Linked DNA regions of Callithrix jacchus. The protein of the gene in region 4 purifies or fractionates together with the protein of the main gene of each other region. This does not show direct contact. Links are inferred from orthologs where the notes say so. Each region holds a gene or a part of one and is shown on either strand. Other genes may lie near its edges. The genes, in order: PPP2CA, PPP2R2D, PPP2R2A, PTPDC1 and MAPK1.

Evidence for each region.
Region 1: the proteins of PTPDC1 (region 4) and PPP2CA purify together in Homo sapiens (affinity purification with mass spectrometry; 4 studies listed by BioGRID and IntAct, counting the BioPlex papers as one, with this or other methods). This does not show direct contact. The link is inferred for Callithrix jacchus from reciprocal best matches to the Homo sapiens genes PTPDC1 and PPP2CA.
Region 2: the proteins of PTPDC1 (region 4) and PPP2R2D purify together in Homo sapiens (affinity purification with mass spectrometry; 5 studies listed by BioGRID and IntAct, counting the BioPlex papers as one, with this or other methods). This does not show direct contact. The link is inferred for Callithrix jacchus from reciprocal best matches to the Homo sapiens genes PTPDC1 and PPP2R2D.
Region 3: the proteins of PTPDC1 (region 4) and PPP2R2A purify together in Homo sapiens (affinity purification with mass spectrometry; 4 studies listed by BioGRID and IntAct, counting the BioPlex papers as one, with this or other methods). This does not show direct contact. The link is inferred for Callithrix jacchus from reciprocal best matches to the Homo sapiens genes PTPDC1 and PPP2R2A.
Region 5: the proteins of PTPDC1 (region 4) and MAPK1 purify together in Homo sapiens (affinity purification with mass spectrometry; 3 studies listed by BioGRID and IntAct, with this or other methods). This does not show direct contact. The link is inferred for Callithrix jacchus from reciprocal best matches to the Homo sapiens genes PTPDC1 and MAPK1.

What each region holds. Positions count from the first base shown.
Region 1 is NC_133503.1:74,102,603-74,106,881, reverse strand, and holds the start of PPP2CA (serine/threonine-protein phosphatase 2A catalytic subunit alpha isoform), read right to left. Parts: upstream 2,801-4,279; 5' UTR 2,584-2,800; coding exon 2,482-2,583; intron 1-2,481. UniProt on the Homo sapiens protein: Catalytic subunit of protein phosphatase 2A (PP2A), a serine/threonine phosphatase involved in the regulation of a wide variety of enzymes, signal transduction pathways, and cellular events.
Region 2 is NC_133513.1:125,247,063-125,250,577, reverse strand, and holds part of PPP2R2D (serine/threonine-protein phosphatase 2A 55 kDa regulatory subunit B delta isoform), read right to left. Parts: intron 1,472-3,515; exon of another isoform or gene 1,300-1,471; intron 662-1,299; coding exon 484-661; intron 1-483. UniProt on the Homo sapiens protein: Substrate-recognition subunit of protein phosphatase 2A (PP2A) that plays a key role in cell cycle by controlling mitosis entry and exit. Involved in chromosome clustering during late mitosis by mediating dephosphorylation of MKI67.
Region 3 is NC_133514.1:15,258,879-15,263,063, forward strand, and holds the start of PPP2R2A (serine/threonine-protein phosphatase 2A 55 kDa regulatory subunit B alpha isoform), read right to left. Parts: upstream 2,816-4,185; 5' UTR 2,505-2,815; coding exon 2,498-2,504; intron 656-2,497; coding exon 581-655; intron 1-580. UniProt on the Homo sapiens protein: Substrate-recognition subunit of protein phosphatase 2A (PP2A) that plays a key role in cell cycle by controlling mitosis entry and exit. Involved in chromosome clustering during late mitosis by mediating dephosphorylation of MKI67.
Region 4 is NC_133502.1:71,716,680-71,720,194, reverse strand, and holds part of PTPDC1 (protein tyrosine phosphatase domain-containing protein 1), read right to left. Parts: intron 3,256-3,515; coding exon 1,997-3,255; intron 1-1,996. UniProt on the Homo sapiens protein: May play roles in cilia formation and/or maintenance.
Region 5 is NC_133502.1:193,829,245-193,833,214, forward strand, and holds the start of MAPK1 (mitogen-activated protein kinase 1), read right to left. Parts: upstream 2,805-3,970; 5' UTR 2,593-2,804; coding exon 2,474-2,592; intron 1-2,473. UniProt on the Homo sapiens protein: Serine/threonine kinase which acts as an essential component of the MAP kinase signal transduction pathway. MAPK1/ERK2 and MAPK3/ERK1 are the 2 MAPKs which play an important role in the MAPK/ERK cascade.

The DNA.
Region 1 (4,279 bases), on a different chromosome or scaffold from region 4:
ATTGTTGATGGGATAACAAAATAATGGCCTCAGGATTTTTTTTTTAGTAACAATGACTTCTCACAGTATACATCTACCTTTACTATTAAAGTCTTTCATTTAAATCAGGCATCTTTAGGTGGGTAGAAGGCTTTTTTATATTATCGTTCCTTCTTGTAAGTGAAGAAATTGCCAACTATTCTCAAACAACTATCTTTTCCTCCCAAAATACTACTATTATATGTTAATCAAAAAAATTAGCCCTCAATATTTTCAAAATTACTCTTTAGAAGGCAATCACACCAAAAAGCATATATGCACCTTTCACCCAGAGATGCCACTGGCACACAAATATAAACAGTGAGAGACAGCTTTTGTTTTACTAGAAAGACTTGAACAAAAAATATCAGTTCATGGGTTTCACATACCCAAAAACCTGTCTTCAAATTAATTTGGTTTGAATAAGCTCCTGAAAGTTGAAATAATTACAAGTTATAAACAGTATTAAGGTCGTATAATGATGTCCACCAAAAAGGACCCATTCCACGGAAACTTTTATCTAACATCTACTCTCAAATATTATTTCCATCTTTTTTGGCACTCAGAACTAAAATTTGCGTAAGCTGAGCAAGCAATGGAGATTTACTTCACTATATGTTAGTTTTACAAAGATGTGGAAAGTAATAACGATGCATTAGCTTCACCCACCCCACTTTAGCATCCAGTATTATCTTATTATCTTCCATAGTTTCCAACACAAACCCTCTACTTCCATGCTCTATCTCCCACACATTTCCATACCATGCTTTTCCTTCCAACTAGATTCATAGTTCCTCAACAATAAGCATACTTAGTCTTCATTTATTTTCATTCCGCTCAAAAGAGTATGCAATCTTGGAGCTTCAATAGGTGCTCAATATTAAACACACTACTAATTTAAAAAGGAATTGACTGTATAATCTCAGGCCAATTTTAAACCTTTAAAATAAATACCAACCTCATTTGATGTGAGGTTGGTAAAGAAACAGGAGATTCAATACCTTGCTACCATTAAAATACATCTCCAAGATGATGTGCTACCTCATCAACTAGTAGTAGTTTTGTTCATGCTTGGGAGAAATAAATCTAAATCCGACGTACTTAAATTCCAATTGTTCATAACATGGTTTCTAAAACATGGACACATACACCAAACTCATGAATCTAATTTTCACATCACACCACAAACAAATCAGGATAATAGTTCTCCATTAATTCTTTTCACTAATACAAAATGATAGTATGATACTCCACTATTCTGTACTAAAGTGACATACTGCAAAGTTATTTTTGAAAAGAGAAGTTTAAAAGTGTTCACAGCAGAGATCAGCATTTTTGTGTACTCTAGAAAACTGAGTTACAAGAATTTAAAAATGCAACATACAGCTAATAACTAAATTGGCTACCTGTTTCCCCAATCCCAGGGGAAAACAAAACAGAATTAGCTAATACAAAATATAAAATTTAAGTGTTATTAAGTGGACTACAACATTCTATTTTCAATGCATGTGAGACATTATTTAAACACTAAGCACAATGTTTGGAATACAATCTTAGTCGACAGTTATTACTAATACTACTACTTGCAACCACAAAATTCTATCAAGTTAACTTTTGCAACAAAGAGAAGATACAAAATTTACCGCTCTTCCATTTTGTTGATTTTTAAAATAAATGGCAAAATGCCAAGTGTGTTAAGCTTAGAGAAGGCTTTGAGTCAGCAAATAAATCATATTCAACTGACACTTGATTTCCAGTCCAAAAGCTCCTCATGTATTATGACTTACCAAATTCCCCATTTCTTCCAACTATGAAAAATAAGTTACACTCCTCCAACTACCATGACCTTCGTAGAAATTAGGTTAAGGGAATAATTTTAAAATTCTTAAAGACACCCTCACTTTGGTTTCTGGAGAAGACCGCTTGATGAGTTTAATACAAACCACCCAGGGGTACTAAAGATGTGTGACCTTTACATATGTTCTGGGATATGGCCTAACAAGACCGCCTTTGGGGACAGTACCTCTGGACAGCTTTGGACCTAACTAGGCCTTGGGTACAAGTGGAAAGCCTCTTAGCCCACCGGAGAAGTCTAGGTCCCATTCCCAGGCCGCAGAATCTAAGCCCGCTCACCCTCAAAACCGTCCCTGATGCTGACCCACAGGGTCTCCGCTCCCCCACCCCAGCCACTTCGTCTGGCGCCAAGGCCGGGAGACTCAAAAGCCCAAGACCCGGGTGAACGGCGCCATTTTAGGCGGCGTTGGCGGCGACAACCAATCCCTGCGCGGGAGGCAGGGGGCGCCGGGTCGTTCGGGTGCCGCCGCCGGCCGGGCTGGGCGCCGGTCTCGGTGACTCGGGGGGCCCGGGCCGGCGGCCTCCGCCATGTTGCACCCTCCTCACGGCCTCCCTTTCTTCGGCGGGGTCTGCCCCACGGCTGCTGCCTGAACCCAGACTACACCTCACCTTCTCGCAGAGGCTCTTGACCTGGGACTCGGACAGCTGCTTGCACTCGTTCAGCTGCTCGATCCACTGGTCCAGCTCCTTGGTGAACACCTTCTCGTCCATGATGCCTCCCGCCCCAGCCGGCTGTGGCTCCGCGCTGCTCCCGCGCCGCCGCCCGCACACGGGCCACACGCACACGCCGCCGCCGGCTCCTCGTGTACTTCTGGCGGCTGCTGAGGCTGGCGCTGGCCCGCTGGCTCTCACCGCAATACTCGGCCGTCGGCCGTTGCGCCTCCTCCTCCGCTCGCTCCGGCACCAGAGATCGGCTCTCTGTAATGGCGGCCGCCTGGCGTGGTGACGTCACGCCGGCGTTAGGAGGTGGCGGGGAGCGGACGGGAAAAGGGACCGGGAGCGAGCTGCGCAACTGCGATGCCCAGCCCCGGCGGCCGCACTACCGGAGTTGGGGGCGCTAACTGGGGGTCAAAGCGCAGGCGCGACTTAGCCGGCTGGTAACAGTCGCCTTCGCTTTTAGGGCGTGGCTCCCGGAGGGCGGGTGGTGGGGGAAGGGAAGGATGGAGTTTGAGCGTGCGCAATGCGCACAGCGGCGAACCGGACTAATCCCTTAGCGCTACGCCCCGAGAGGTGAGAGATTGGGCCACGCGCAGACGCAGACCGGATGGAAGTGGGGGTTACTGTCTGTCTGTAACTGGTTCCCCTGGGAAGGCTGTTCTGGTGATGAATTCAGCTCCTCGTCTGGGGCCCGGCAGTCGCGAGAATTGCGACCCCATGGCTCCTCCGGGGTGCAACAGCGCTGGAATTGTGTGGGTTTCCCGCATCTCGGGGGCAGGAATGGGCAGCGAGTGGCCGCCTGGTTGGAATAACCACCCCCACCTCTGGGCGCGGTTGGTGTAATTAGGTCACTCGTAGGTGGAGGAGCGAGTGCCTACCGTGGGAGTGCCGCGCAGTGCACCTGACTTCCCCGGCACACACCAGTCCCCTGACCTAGGTGTCTCGTCGGGCGCGATGGCGATGGCGAGGTTTGGGCTTTTCTTTGAGCCTCAAACCGCGGCTTGGTTCCAGGTGCACGGCTCCTCGCCGATGGTTGCTTTCCTCCAAGTTTGATTCCCCTTGGGAATGAGACCCTCAGCCCCTGCCCTCCCTGGCCTACTTTCTAGAGGAGAATCCCATAGAAGATGGATGCACCTGTCCTGACCGCGTCCCGATGGCGTTAGAAGCAGATGTGATCCGCGCTTTAAAGAGAGCTTGCATACCCTGGGATTGAATCTCTGTCTGGTTGTGAATCGCTTTGGAGTTTGCAAAACGTTTTCACATTCCATTGTCCCTGCTTTTACATACACATCTGGTTCCATAGAGCGCCAACTATGTGCCAGATCCAGAGGGGTAATCCAGACGGATGACCAGCCCTGGAGCTTGTATTCTCAACAGTATGGGCTAAATATGGTTTGGGATAGACAGAGATCATGATGCCCCCGAATTTGACAGATATAGAAGCTTTCCAAAGAACATTTAGCCATAAAGGGAAAGGCAAGAGCTGAACCTGGTCGCCTTTTCCAGGCGCCCCACCCTCAGTATCAGCCAACTCTTCCACACCAAGTGCTCAGCAGTGCTCGGAAGGAGAGTGCTCACTCTGCGGCTCTGAGGGCATCATCCCCACCAACAGGCTGAAGAAGGCACTGGAGGCCCCAGCAGCCAATAGCAAGACTGAAAATCCTCCTTTATCCAAGACAACCTGTTTGGCGAGGCCAACTGGCTTGGCCTCCTGGGCTGGAAATTGTTAATTCTGCTTTCCCTTCATACC
Region 2 (3,515 bases), on a different chromosome or scaffold from region 4:
AAAACATGCCCCCTGCTCCCTGGCTGCTAGCTAGAAAGGAGCCCACGTGAGGATGGCGAGGACCCCCAGACCATGCACAGCCTCAGGAGAACACGGGTTCTCCCGGAAGCTGCTGCTCAGATGGGTGATTAAATGCCACTCTAACCTAAGCCAATATTTTCTATCATCCATCAGCAAATTCAGGAAAAAAAATAAATAAAAAAAGAACAAGTAATGTTGGTTTTTCAAATGCAGCCTATTTAAAACTATCTCTGATTAAACCAGGCAGGCAGTGGACTTCAGAGAACTGTTTCCAAACGTAGAAGGAAATCCGTATTTTTAGGAACAAATGTTTCAATTCACAGAGAACTTACATCGCAGGCCACTGTGCAGCAATGACATTTACGAGACTAGACTCAGATACAGGCGTGTAAAGAACAAGAGAAATCACCATCTAAAGAGCAGCCTCAAGGAAGATGCCAGTGTCCCTCTGAGGAAGGATACTAAAGCTTCTATCTGTGATTTCTAAGTGCCATAAATTAATTCTCAGGTCATCTGCAGAAAGATACGTTTCATGATCACTATTTACTGAAATGGAATTTATATGATATGTGTGAGCATTTGCAAAAATTCGCCGTGGACTCGCTTCTACCATTAGATCCATGGGCTTCAATATTGGGACCTAAAAATGGAAGGAAACAGGAATTCAAAACAAAGATCGCAGTGGCATAGAATTAAAACACTTACAGTAGATAACAGAGGAGGACAAGTTTGCGTCCATGGCTAAGTAAGAACTGCGTACAGGCAATACCTCTAAGTAACCACTTAGCAGTTATGAAAATAGGCTACAAAATGGAATACTCTATTCCAAGTCTTCCCCCTTGCTTCCATTGCTGAGGCTGACATGTTCCTGCTGAATAAAAAGCTGGCAGGCTAACAAGCTGCCCGGGCGCTGAGGCCTGCGCTCGCTCCCTCTCGTGTGTCCTCCAGTGGCCACACTGAGACGCTGGACAGCAAAGTCTTCCCCTCCCTTTGTCCTCTCCTTGCAGCCGGATGCACAAACCCTCCCTCACTGCACCAGGAGTATGCTTCTCGGAGCAAACCCCACAAGCCTCTGCCGGCTCCAGGGACTGCACAGGAGGGTGCACAGGAGGGCCCTGGGGAGCTGAGGATGTTCCATGTCTCAGTCTGGGGCTGGCTATATGGGCATGTCCAGTCAAATGGAGCTGGTCACTTATGGGGCACATGTATTATTATGGGGTATGTATTATATATTATACTTCATTTGTGGTTAAAACAAGTAAAAGGTACCTCCCGTACCCATTTCTGTGTTGAGTGCTGGGAAAGTCCATTTCCAATCACACTGAAATGGAAAGGACAGAGAAGAGGGTGCTGGCCGGAGGGCGCCTGTGGTCAGAGGCGAGAGCTCAGGCACGAGGAATAGCATCACACGTGAAAAAAGGAAAAGGGCCTGCATCTCACTAACATCCAGCTGGAAGAAAAGCATAAGCTTTAAAATCAAAACAAAAAAATTAATGATAGGATCTTTAGTTATTCTTGTAATTAGAAACCAAAAGGAAGAACCGTGAAAGCTTAGGGGAAAAAAATCTCTCAGCTGAGTCTTGTCTGGCTGATTTTATAGAAAATAAACTTGAAACAGTATGTACAGTGAGACTTCCCTGATTTTAACACAGTTAGTGCTGACCACACCCTTCGAGTCTCTAGAGAAAGGGTCAGGTCTACCAGGCTTAAAAACACACACCTGCCACAATCCTCTAACAAACCTCCAATTAATCAAAACACACGATACTTACAAAGATTCCTTCCTTTATTTAAAAAAAATTTCATTTACATACAAAATAATATGTTTTCATTTTTAGAGATGGGGTCTTGCTATGTTGCCCAGGCTGGTCTTGAACTTCGGGGCTCAAGTGACCCTCCCATCTCAGCCTCACAAAGTGCTGGGATTACAGGTATGAGCCCCCGCGCCTGGCCAAGACTCCTTCTTTTAATTACATCCCTTTCCTGGCACTAAAATGATTTAGACAAAAAATTTAAAAGCAGCAACATTTCTGACTCTTCCCCAGTTAGGGTTAGAATGCATTAACAGCCCACTCTGAACTGTAAGATCTCAAATACTGACCTAAGTCAATGTAGAGAATTATGTAGTCTGTGGTCTCTTCTCCGAGTACTGACTAATGAAATAACTACACTTCTCACATGCCTTCAGTAGGGCCACCTATTATACCTGTTTTATTTAGGCGAAACCTACAAAAGCAGCCTTAAATAAAACCAAGACTGGGCCTAATAAAGGCCTACTGTTTTCTCAAAACAAGCACGTGAGCTTGAGGGTGGTGGCGGGGTCCCATCAGGAGGAACAGGGGTTTCTGAGGGTGGGTTGTGCACATGTACCCCGTGGGAGATGGTGGGAGGTGCTGCTGGCTGCAGAGATGGACAAGGCTGGAGCAGGTCAAGTGCCCGCCCTTGGGGTCCCATCACTTCCAGTTTAGAATCAGTGCCCGCCCTCGGGGTCCCATCACTACCAGTTTAGAATCAGTGCCCGCCCTTGGGGTCCCATCACTACCAGTTTAGAATCAGTGCCTGCCCTCGGGGTCCCATCACTTCCAGTTTAGAATCAGTGCCCACCCTCAGGGTCCCATCACCTACCTCCAGTTTAGAATCAGTGCCCGCCCTTGGGGTCCCATCACTACCAGTTTAGAATCAGTGCCCGCCCTCGGGGTCCCATCACCTACCTCCAGTTTAGAATCAGTGCCCGCCCTCGGGGTCCCATCACTTCCAGTTTAGAATCAGTGCCCACCCTCAGGGTCCCATCACTTCCAGTTTAGAATCAGTGCCCGCCCTTGGGGTCCCATCACTTCCAGTTTAGAATCAGTGCCCGCCCTCGGGGTGTCTATCTCACTTCTCATTTAGGATTAGCAGTTTCATGATGGAACTGCATAGCTACTGTCACTATCACTAAGAACAATATACACTAATCCACGGACGCAAGAGCAGCGGTCCTGTGTGACAGACGTCACCCACAATTTAGATGAAAACATCCTGGTTCAAATTAGGACCCTATAAGCTAGATTTTCAGCAAATGCCACAGCCCTTCCCAGCTTTGATGAACTCAGGAAATACAGCGGTAGTATGGATGTGACAGGTCTGAGGACACTCCTCCTGGAGAGTGCCTAACCCCAGGTGCACCCGCCCTGCACAGCAAAGCTGGAGAAATGGCACCAGAACAGACCCAGCATCATTCCTAGGGGCACGTGTGTTAGCAGCGGCCTTCTGTGTGGCACTTCCAAAGACTAATGTGGAATGGGCTTGCTCACTCGGTCTTCACTTGATAAACAATAGTGTAATGGGGCTGAAATCTCATTAAAAGCCAGCCAACCAACCACCCCAACCACCCACCCAACCATTAACCAACTAACCAACCCACCCACCCACCCCAACCAAATCACTCAACCAACCACCCAACTGATTAACCAACCACCCAACCTATTAACCAACCAACCAACCCACTCACCTAC
Region 3 (4,185 bases), on a different chromosome or scaffold from region 4:
AAGCGATATATGCATAGCAGTTACTGTCTTATCCACCTAATTACCAGAAAGACAACAAAATGAATAATGTGAGCTGTCATCTCTTCACAGACTATGCCAATCAGCACTACATTCCACAGCAGGCAAAGTCAAGAGAGGTTAAGAATCTTCCCATAAAAATTAGAGATGCTGCTAAGAATGTTTCTGAGCCAAATGTTGATGGCACCTATTTCAATTTACTTATCTAAAAACAATGTACAAACACAAAAATGCATCACCATTTATTTCTATGTGGAATTTATATAACAAAGAAACCCTTATATGGAGCTCAGAGCTTTCATGTGACGATTCTATATGTCTAATCATCTATCGCTCCTTTCACGTAAATTCAGAGTAAAAAATAAAAACAAGGCATAAATTACAAAAGAAACTTAAGGCTGTATTTCAGAAACGTAACTTTTAAAACTGTTCTTACATTTCTTGGACAATAAACACAAAATCATCTTGAATTTTTAATAGTCTTGGCTTCAAGGAAATCCCTCAGGAAAGATTTCTGAAAAAATTATATATCCAAATTTTGCATTATTAAATGCTTTCTTACCTTCTGCTACATCATCATCTACTGCTCCTTTCACCTGAGAAAAACACCACTGAATATCATTCCCTCCTCCAGCTCCTGGAAAGAAAACATACCAATTAAAACTGAGTTCTGCTCATGTTGACTCTCGTAAACAATCCACGGTTGGCATGATCATGACACTAACAGCTTAGTTTTGCCCACACATACAACCACCACCAAAAGCACCACTTTGGAAAAAGGTTAGTCCCCAATAGTTAGTACTGTATTAAAAAGAAAAAAAGGTTCCAGGTATGAAATCTTTAAAGGCGTATGTTCTGTGGTCATCATACATCTGTTCACAAACTTCCCTTCCTCTCAAATATCTTAAAAGGCTTACACTCAGGCAAGACCTACCAGAAAAGTGTAAATACCAAGAGTTAAAGAGTTTTCTTTTTAAGTGTACAAAAAACCTGCAGAAGAGTTAATAAGGTTAAACTACCATGAAACATAGAACGGAGAGAAAACTTCGGGAACATTACTGCCTGGGTGAGGAGTAATGATTCATATGAACCCTATCACCAAAGTGCACACACAGCAAACACTACACCCATTTCTTTGCATTCATTACCAGCAAATCACTGGCTCCAGACAGAGAGGAAAAGAAACCAAAATGAATGCTGCTAAAGAGACTGTCAAAGGAAGCCTGTTCTGCCTCCCTTCACCTCAGCCCTCCACTCCGAAGGACCTGGCAAATAATTCATTTCGCTAGTATGTCATCTCGTGCAAAACAATTTTAATCTCATTTCATCATTAAACACGGCCAACAAGCAACTTGTTTTATAGCAAACCGTAAGTCAATCCGACACGTTAACTTTTTCAAATGGTTTAATTCTCTAAGTAATGAATACAGCACGGTAAACTGGTCTAATCTCGGAATGTTTCTATTTCACGTGCAAGTACTGAGAACGAAATGGTGAAAACGTCCTGAGACTCTAGGGAGAAAGACACTGAATCTAAATCTGGAACCCATTCTACTACATGAAGGAAAAGACTTAGCAACACCAACATGTACAAAAAGAATTCTCAAAGCAATTACATTACTTCTCTCTCCCCTGTCACCCCTATTCCTTGCTAAATTTATTTCCAAACTGGTTTTCTCTCTACATCCTTTCCCCCCCCCTCCAAAGCTTCTACCTAAATCTCTCTCCTCTTTGCTATTTATATCTCTGAACTCCGCAACTATTTTAACTAACTCTACCAAACCCTTTTGGGAAAAGGACATCTGCAAAAAAGCTAACATGTTAAACGGAAAGTTGAAATTATGTTTTTCATGCAACTTGCTGTACATGAAAGGCCTTGCACTCTTCGGTGGTAAGAGGGAAAGAAACGGAAAGGAAATGGTTTGAAACAAAAAATTTAGGCTTCCAATCTCAAAAATATTGGCATCCACAGTGGGGGAAAAAAAAGACACATATGGCCCCACTGCATTTTAACTTGTAAGGCGCTCTTCTTTCTCAGTGCAAAATAATGTGTATATACACCCAAGAAGGTTTGCAGCAGGGGGGGAAATAGAAATTAAATGAAGACCTGCAGGATAAAATGAAAATAAAGACGGGGGGCGAGGTAGGAGAGGATCCACCCGGCTCCCGAGCGGGAGAGACAAATCTGCACGCGCCCCCACCCCGCCCCACCCACGCCTCACCCCAAGCTCGCCGGCACACCCCACCCCCACCCCCGCCACGGCGCCAGCTCCGTTCTCCAAGCCCAGTGGCTCTCGCCGCGACCACTCGCCTCCCCGGAGTCCTCCCCGCCTCCACCCCACCCCCCTGGACCCCACTCCCTCAAACCCGAGGGGCGCCCCGTGGCTCCGCGCAAGGCGCGGGCGGTCGCTAGGGGGTGATGGAGGGAGGAAGAAGGAAACGGTGCCTTGTCAGGGGGCAAGGGGAATTTCTCCTTTACCTGCCATGTTGCGCTGCAAATGGTGACCCTGCGGGGTTCCTCGGGGTCTCCGCTTCCTGAACTCACCCCCCTCACCTGGGGATGGGGGGGTAGAGAGGGCGGATGGCGGCGGATGGCACCTGCGGGGGGAGGGGACAGGGGCTGGGGGAAAAGGAAGGAGGGGCGGGCAGAGCAGCCGGCAGGATGCTAGATTTCACTCTAGGGCTTCCCCGCTCGTGCTCTTTCTCCGGCAGCGGCGGCGGCGGCTACGACAGCGACGGCGGCGGCGGCAGCGGCAGGGGCAGGCGACTCCACTTTCAAAATGGCGCCGGCTGGCCTGGTCAGTGACGTCACCAAGGGGGCGGAGCCGCCGGGCTGGGCGGAGAGCAGAGGGGGAGGGGCGGGGGAGAGGCCGGGCGGGCTCCTGACCACGCCCCCTTCCTGCTGCGCTCTTGCCCCGCCCTCCGCGTCCTGGCCGGTGCGGCCTGTGACGCGCCCGCGTCTCGCGGTGGCGCCCCCTCTGCCCGTTCCTCCTGCGCCGGGCCGCGGCTGTCTGCGCCTCGCGGTGTCCCAGCCCCTCGCGCTAGCGCCGGGGCTCTGGGGCGGGCTCAGCTGTCCAGTTAACGTGCTCGTCTGCAGGAATTCTTGGGGTCTTGTGCCTTTTTTGAGAATACCCGTATTGCTACTTAGGAAAGTGTCGCTTTGCGCCAGCCCTGACTCCACAAAGGAAGGGACAGCAGTGCAGACTCGCTGCTCAGCCGGGATGAAAGTTCACGGGGTTCAGAGGGACACGCTTGGGCTGGTTCCATCTGGGTGAATTAAATGACCTTCGCGTGGGCCCCAGGAACCAAGACGGGAGTCCTGGGCACTGCGGCCACTAAGGGTGGTTTCTAACAGAAACCTGAGTTTGCGATGAGAAGGGTATGGCCCGAGAAGTAGCTTGGGTCTCTCCAGCTAAATAAACAATGGTGGAATCCGTGCTTAAGAGCTGGGCTCAGGGTGGGGCGCGGTGGCTCAGGCCTGTAGTGCCAGCACTTTGGAAGCCAGAGGCGGGAGGATCACTTGAGGCCAGGAGTTCCAAGTTCAGCCTGGAGAACATAGGGAGACCCATCTCTACCAAAAAAAGAAATAATTTTTTTTTTTTTTTTTAATTAGCCAGGTATGATGGCGTGCCTATAGTTTCAGCTACCAGGAGGCTGCGGTGGGAGAACTGCTTGAGCCCAGCAGGTCAAGACTGCAGTGAGCTGTCAGCCTGGGCGACAGAATGCATTCCTTTCAAATCTAAACCAAACCAAAAAAAAAAGCTGGGCTCTGAAGCCAGGCTGTCTAATGTGATTCCAAGGCTCAGCAGATGAAGATGACAGTCCTACCTGATAGGATTGTTGGTGAGATGAAATGACTTAATTTGAGCACATGATAAATGTTAGTTGCCGTTATTATTAGATTTGTATTGAAAGCATCGTCAGTAAGGTTAAGAGGTAGAAGGAAAAAAATGAACAGGAAATGCCAGTCATCAGCTAAGAGGGGATGTGCACTTCTGCTGAAAGATGCTCTAATGATGCAGTTGCTATATACGGCACACTTTACATATCTCATTCCATCTCCACAATACTCCTAGGAGATAGATATGCACATTTTACACATGAAGACCACCTGCAAAAGCATCCAGAATTTGGCCTAAGGCTGAATGGAGTGAGAAAGGCGTTTGG
Region 4 (3,515 bases):
GGCAAAGGGGGTATTCATCATATCCAGTTCTGCCTCACTCCACAGTCTGTGCTGCTTCTGCTACACCACAAGGACCCTGGTTTCTCTTTATTATGTTATGAATACGCTAATACTTTGTTATTCATAGTCCTTCCTGTTGCACAGATCATGTATGTAACAAAGCTCTTTATTCAATCTTATGAAGAAGACAAGCTGGGCAGAACTGACATTACTCAAAAACCCTCCTAGCAAAATGGCTATCTATCATGATATTTCCTGAGGCTTTCCAGTGAGGTTAGCCAAGAATCCTGGGATAATGGAAAGTGTTAAACACATGAGCTGTACCCTAACTCTGCCACATGTATGCCATATGACCCTGAGCAAGTCACTTACCCTCTAACCTCTGTGACCTTTAGTATCCCCATCTGTGATACTGAATTCTTAAGATTAACAAGAATGTAGAAATAGTATCATCTGCCTCACAGATACGTTCTCTAACTGTGAAAAATCACCTGAAATAATACATGTGAGATGGTTGTGTACAGGCTTAGGTACCATTATGCCATTCAAATCATGTTCACTTTATTCTTTTCCAGAATTCAACTTATTGTTTTGATTACTAAAAGTCCTAAAATAAAATATAGAAATGAAAAACTCTCCTGATAAAAGGCCTGTGTTCACCTCCAGAAAATGCTTTCATATATGCTACATACAGTCTGGCCCAAACCAAGTCCTGAATTCTTCATCACCACAGGCAGAGCGCACATGGGCACTGCGGCTGACCCAGGAGTGGGGGTGCAAGATTTTCATCTAAAACGGAAGACTCTCTTGCTTGCTAACTCTTAACACACTGTAATGCCCAGGAAACATTTGCTGACTGAATGACTTTTTCAGTTTGGAGTAGGAAATAAAATAATTCATTTTGGGAGAAAGCAATACATTTAACTATTGGATAGGCGAAACACAATTCTGAGGAACACAATTTTTATCAAAAGTTCTCTCATCATATAGTTATCAGTTAGTGTGAAGCTCTAAATTTTCATGCCTCTGTATCTGAAGAGATACTGACACTCAGAAATTTTATATGCCTTGTTTAATCAATGGCAGACTATGAAAGCAAGCTATTAAAATAACTCACAGTAGATAACCTGCCTGCCTGGGGTGGTGACCAACCTGGGCTCAAAAGTCAAGATTTCAGTGTCCAAGTCACTTGGACTTGCTGACAACTGTCCAAGTCAGCCTCCTTTTGGGGTAGTCTGGCTGTTTCTGATAGCTAGGTTTATGAGGCCTATCTTTTCTCTAGACCAAGTGCTGATTCAGAGCAAAGAAAGTGTGACTGACTTAAAACTGTACCCTAGTAAAAGTACAACACAAAAAAAGAGTTAAAAATTTATATTCTAATTGAAGTAAAAGCTAAGAAATGGACCCCAAAGACCCTAAAGTGAATGGCACGCAGTAATCTGTGGTTCCTCCCACTTGCTCTCCTGATTTCCCATAGTTGCCTGATTAGAGCAGGATTGGCAAGTCTGAAGGAGAGGATGCCAAGGAGACAGCCTCACTCTTCTGACCTTGCTCAGCACTAGTGCTGATGAGCTTTGGAAAATAACTATTTTATTTATGTCTCTAGCTCAGTGGTTCTCAAAGTATGGTTCCCTCTGCCAGGCCTCAGGTTAAAGATGCTTCAAGTGAGTTTCTAATGCTGTCTGTTGTGGGCCAGTTGCCTCCACAGACCCAGCAAGAAAGTAGAAAGCTACCAATATCAATGCCTTGTGCGGGTCAAGCATCGTGCTAAGTGCTTTCCTGCATATGCAGATTTAAATGAAACCACACAAACACCCTGTGACTTTTCTGTAACATCAGGTTCGCATCACAGATGAGAAACCTGAAGTTAGAAAGTTAAGTATTATGCAAATGTATCTTCATATTTCACTTGGGAAGTTTGAGAAAATGTATTTCACTTTTGCTCTGACATAAATATTTCCCACATAACTATAATTAAATAAAGTACTAATAATACCTGCCACATTTCTACCTTCCTTTTTAGTTCCTCTTTTTCTATAGATTCGTTTAAATTTGCTAGGGCTTTGGCCGCCAGTATTCTTCTTGCTTCAACACTCAATTCAGATTGCAATGTAGAGTGTGAAGCTGCTTCAGACAGATCTTTACTGTCCTGGATTTCATGTTCAACCAAGAACTGTGTTTTGGGCCTGGAGCCACAGTCCAGAGGGCTTCGGGGAGTCGTGCTGTTCTGCCTGACAGCACCAGGGCTCCCAACACCATGAGTTTTACACTGACAGTGAGACACTTGCTGGTGAGTAGGGTTTGGATCCTTATGGACATTTGAGAAGTTGGGTGAAACGGGCTCCCCAGGGCTGTTTGAGCCTGAAACATCTGCAGAGAAAGCTCCACTCTGCTGTGCTTCCTTTGGAATGAGCCCTCCATGGAAAATTGGTGACCCATTATCTTTGAGTCCTTTCAGGCCTCCAAACATAGACTGACTCCAGAAAGAAAGTGTGCTGCGAACCAAGGCTTCCTTATGTAAGTCTGGTTCTGGAGACTGTGGGACATAACAATGGCTTATGAGCTTCTGCTGCCTGGGGTGACGACCAACCAAGACCTGGGCAGGCACTGTCCGTGGAGTCTCCCCTTGCTCCAGAAGGTTCTCGGCCCTCTTTAAATCTGAGTCACTGTAGCTGAGCCGCCTTTTTAGATGAGTCAGGGGTTGAAGGCACTCAACATTCCGCCTCTTCCAAAGGGGGTCAAACTCTTGCTCATTGGAGAAAACCACGTCTCGATTGTCAAAATCTGCTGCCACTGCAGTGGGGTTAGACGGGTTGGACACATCACTGCTAGGCCTCAGTAACTCTGTATCCAGCTGCATGGTGACCATCTCAGACATGGTCTTTTCTATTTCAGCAGAGAGACCAGGTCCTTCGGACACATCCTTCATCATCACTGGCCTGTTCTCAGCTAAGTCTAGCAGCAATTTGCAAACTAGGTGGATAATTTTTGGCACGTGTTTCAGAAGTCTTGCCTCATAACCATGAAGCAGATGACGCTGGCGAATTAGATATTGAGCTAAGGTGACAGCATGTGCTTTGGGATCACAGCAAGAGAATATATTGCGGAGAGGAGTTAGAAACTGAGTAAATTCCCTTACACAGAGGAGCTGTCCTCTGGTTTGTATGGAATTGGGTCGTTTTGCCCGCACAAACATAATTGCTTGGTCAGCAGTCATTCTTGTTGCAAAAACTAAGTAACAGGCTATTAGAACACCTAAACAGTGAAGAAGAGAAGACTGGTATGAGAAAAGCTTACATTTTTATTCAGTTTATCACTCCTTGATGATTTAAAATTTGAGTATGTGTTAAGAAACCATATAAATAGAGACGCACTTTAAGGACAATTATGATGATAACTTAATGACTTTTTGTAGAGGTATTATTATTATATGCTCCTTACTGCATAGAACTTTATTAAATGTCTATATGGCACCCCCTCCCCATAACTGAGTCATCTCAGTAGCCCAGAGCTGT
Region 5 (3,970 bases), about 120 Mb from region 4:
GTTAATAGGGTATGTCATCAACCTGATAAAAGGCTATAATTTGAATCTAGGATTCAAATACCCAATTATATTTGCATTTGTGTTTTAGTTAGAAAGGAAAATCATAATAAGAGGACCTAGCATTCAAACGGAGAGTCAGAAGGTCAAACGAGCCTACAGCAGTTGACAGAATTAGTTCCCAGATCTAAACTTCAGACTAGTAAAAACCTTATCAGATAGGGGAAACCTTATCAGATGGGGGTATCTTTTCAAGTGATGTGTCCTAAACTTAAAAGACTTTTTTCAGTCCACATTTTAGATAAGTTAATTTTGTTAAAAGGGCCAAAGGACATGATGGGAAATTCTGAGCCTCTCATAATGAGACACGTTCACGGGCACACTTCCCAGTGAGTGCAACAACAGTGAGATGTATGGTACAGAAATGATGTTATTGGCAATACTTCCTCTCCATTACTTTTTAGGGCCTTATTTCTTTTTTGTGTGTGTGAGACGGAGTTTCGCTCTTGTTACCCAGGCTGGAGTACAATGGCACGATCTCGGCTCACTGCAACCTCCGCCTCCTGGGTTCAGGCAATTCTCCTGCCTCAGCCTCCTGAGTAGCTGGGATTACAGGCACGCGCCACCATGCCCAGCTAATTTTTTTGTATTTTTAGTAGAGACGGGATTTCACCATGTTGACCAGGATGGTCTCGATCTCTTGACCTTGTGATCCACCCCCCTCAGCCTCCCAAAGTGCTGGGATTACAGGCTTGAGCCACCCCGCCTGGCTTTAGGGCCTTATTTCTTTTAGGCTCGACCTAATTTAAATTCTCTCTTGGCTCCTAAACCTGTGAGTTCATGTTAATTTTTACAATTGTATTCAGCATTTTGCGCCTAAATAAAGTGAAAATACTGTAATCCCAGCTACTCAGGAGGCTGAGGCAGAAGAATCACTTGAACCTGGGAGGCAGAGGTTGCAGTAAGCAGAGATCTTGACACTGCACTCCAGCCTGGGCAACAGAGCGAGACTCCATCTCAAAAAAAAAAAAGTGAAAATATGAAAGATTCAATTAAAGTCTCTTTAAAAAAATTTTAAGTAATCTTTCTATCTAGCTGCAATACTTGGCAAAACATGCCTTCTATTGCATTTCTAAAATTATGACGATTGAAATCTGAATACACTTCTGAAATAGACTTACATTTACTTTATAACAGTGAAATACACAAAATTCTGCAATTATTAATTACCCTAAGGAAAGCAGGGTGTTTTCCTAAAAACAGCTGAAAAGAGGTGTGGTGTGTGAAGTAGAATCTCACTCTACAATCTTAAGAATAACTCTTTAGTTCTATTACCTCATCCTGAACTTCACCTCAAAATACTTTATCACCTGAAATACCTTCTCACCTGAAAAAAGGAATAACACCATCTTTTCCTCCTTCAATGTGGCTGTTCAAATAAAATGAAATCATGTATGTTGCACAGTACCTACCATGAAGTGCTCAATAAAATATCGGTTTAATTCCTTCGGTCAACACAAAAGACACTGTGATTTAAGGGAATCTACTTCCACAAGTCTTCACCAGCACAAAATGTTACAGCTAGTTTGCTCTAATAAAAACAATACAGTCACCATCACTTCACTTTTCTAAGGGACCTAAATCAAGATGAGGGAGCCTACATGTGATTTTGCAAAAACTCCAGAAAGGCTGCATACTTATTGACCACTAAAGTCCACAGCAATTGGGCTAAAACATCTGGGAGCATTTATGCTGGTAAAAGAGCTCACTAGGGGACTAAAAAAAAAAAAAAAGTCAAATTAGGCCCAACTCTAAACGGATCTTTAATAAATCAAGAAACTGAGGCTGAGTTAACCTTCCTGAAACGCCAATAGTGTGATATTAAAATCCACTTTAAAGTAAAAACTTCAAGACGGAAATAACACTGCTGTCAGCAATGCATTTTATAAAGCCTGCGCGCAGACCACCATTAGCACCGCTGAGGATATTTAATCAAAGCCGTTGGCTGCAAAGGCGAGTAGAAAAAAAATGACTATTTTGGTGTTCTGCACACACGCGGAGACAAATCGCTTTCAGGACCTCAGCAGCCGCCGCCAACACCGACAAGCATCTGATGGAATTCCCAGTTTACAATCAAGCAAGCCATGATGTTAGCAAATTGAGGAGTGGGGGCGCTTCCGTTGCCTTCCCGAGGGTCCAGACTTTAAAGGCCGCGTTGCGCCCTGGGCCCGAGACCCAGCCTCCGGCCTCCGGCCTCCGCCCCCCACGCCACTCCCTGCGCCCCTTCCCGAGCGACCGCGGGCCCGGGTCTCAATCGGCCCGGGGCACCGCCCGAGTCCCGGCGCGCGGACCGCGGTGAAGTCCGGGTTCGAGGTCGCCGCGGCTGCCGAGGCCGAGGCACGGGCGAGGCCGAGGCTGCGTCCGCCGCGGCCCCCGGTGGTGGGGAGGTCGGGCGTGGCCAGGCACGGACACTCACCACACCATGCCGTAGGCGCCCTCGCCGATGTACGAGAGGTTGGTGTAGCGCGGCCCCACGTCGAACACCTGCCCGCGGACCATCTCCGGGCCCGCGCCCGCCGCCGCCGCCGCCGCCATGTTGGTTGCCGGGCCGCCGCCGCCTCCGCCGCACTGGACTCGACGCTCCGCGGCCGCCGCTCGGCTCCTGTCGCCCCTCCCGAAGGGACCGCGCCGCCGCCGGAGCAGCCGCCGCCGCTGACCGGGAGGAGGAAGGAAGACGCCGGGGGGGAGACCTGAAGAGCCCACAGCCGCTCGAGCCGACTGCCTGCCTGCCTGCCTGCCAGACAGACGGGCGGGCGGAGGGAGGGGCGCGCGCCGAGGAGAGTGCCGGGGAGGGGGCCAAGCAACGTGCGTGCAGATTGGTTCTTCGTGGATGGGGCGGGGCCAGGCGGGCCGGCGGAAGCGACGGGCTCGGGGTGGGGCACTGCGGCTGCGTTGACTGAGGGGCCACCCCCGGGCGTGGTCACGTGTATTCGCGGGGTCGGAGGCGCGGGACTCGGCTCTTGAGAGACTCAGGGAGACAGACGTGGGGCAGAACCTATGGGACTGAAGTGACATGTGGCCGGGGCCCGCGCCGGAGCAGGGTCCTAACAGAACCAGCGAGGGCTCGGAGCTGTGCCTGAGGCTTGACGACGCGCCGTAGCCCGGCGGCGCCACAGCTCAGGCCTCTGCTAATCCGTGGCCCACACGCTGATAAACTAAGAGGCGTTGGCACTGGGGCAGAAACCGAAAGACATGACCCAGACTGAGAAAGATATTTCCATACTGAGAAAGTGAGAAGCACAATTGTCTAGATTAAAAGGAGACACTGAGAGGATAGGAGAATCAGAGCTTAGCTCAGATGTTTGTTGACCACACTCTATGTTCCTGGGGATCCACCCTCATAGAAGTTACATTTTAGAGAGAGGAGACATTTATTTATTTATTTATTTATTTATTAGAGACAGCGTTTATTTATTTACTTGTTTGTTTTTAATTAATTTATTTTTTAGAGACAGCGTTTCACCATGTTGGTCCGGCTGCTGTCGAACTCCCGACCTCAAGTGATCCGCCTGCCTCAGCCTCCCAAAGTGCTGGGATGACAGGCATGAGCCACGGCGCCCGGCCAGACAAATACATTTAATACTCAAGCTGTGGTAAGTACTGTGAAGAAATATAAAGCAGAAGGGAGGGCGCGGTGGCTCTCACCTATCATCCCAGTACTTTGGGAGGCCTCGGCGGGCGGATCACTTGAGGTCAGGAGTTTGAGAGCCAGGTCTCCACTAAAAATACAAAAATTAAAGGCAGGCACGGTGGCTCACGCCTGTCATCCCAGCACTTTGGGAGGCCGAGGTGGGCAGATCACGAGGTCAGGAGTCCAAGACCAGCCTGGACAATATGGTGAAACCCCGTCTCTATTAAAATATAAAAACTAGCCAGGCGAGGTGGTGAATGCCTGTAATCCCAGCTACTTGAA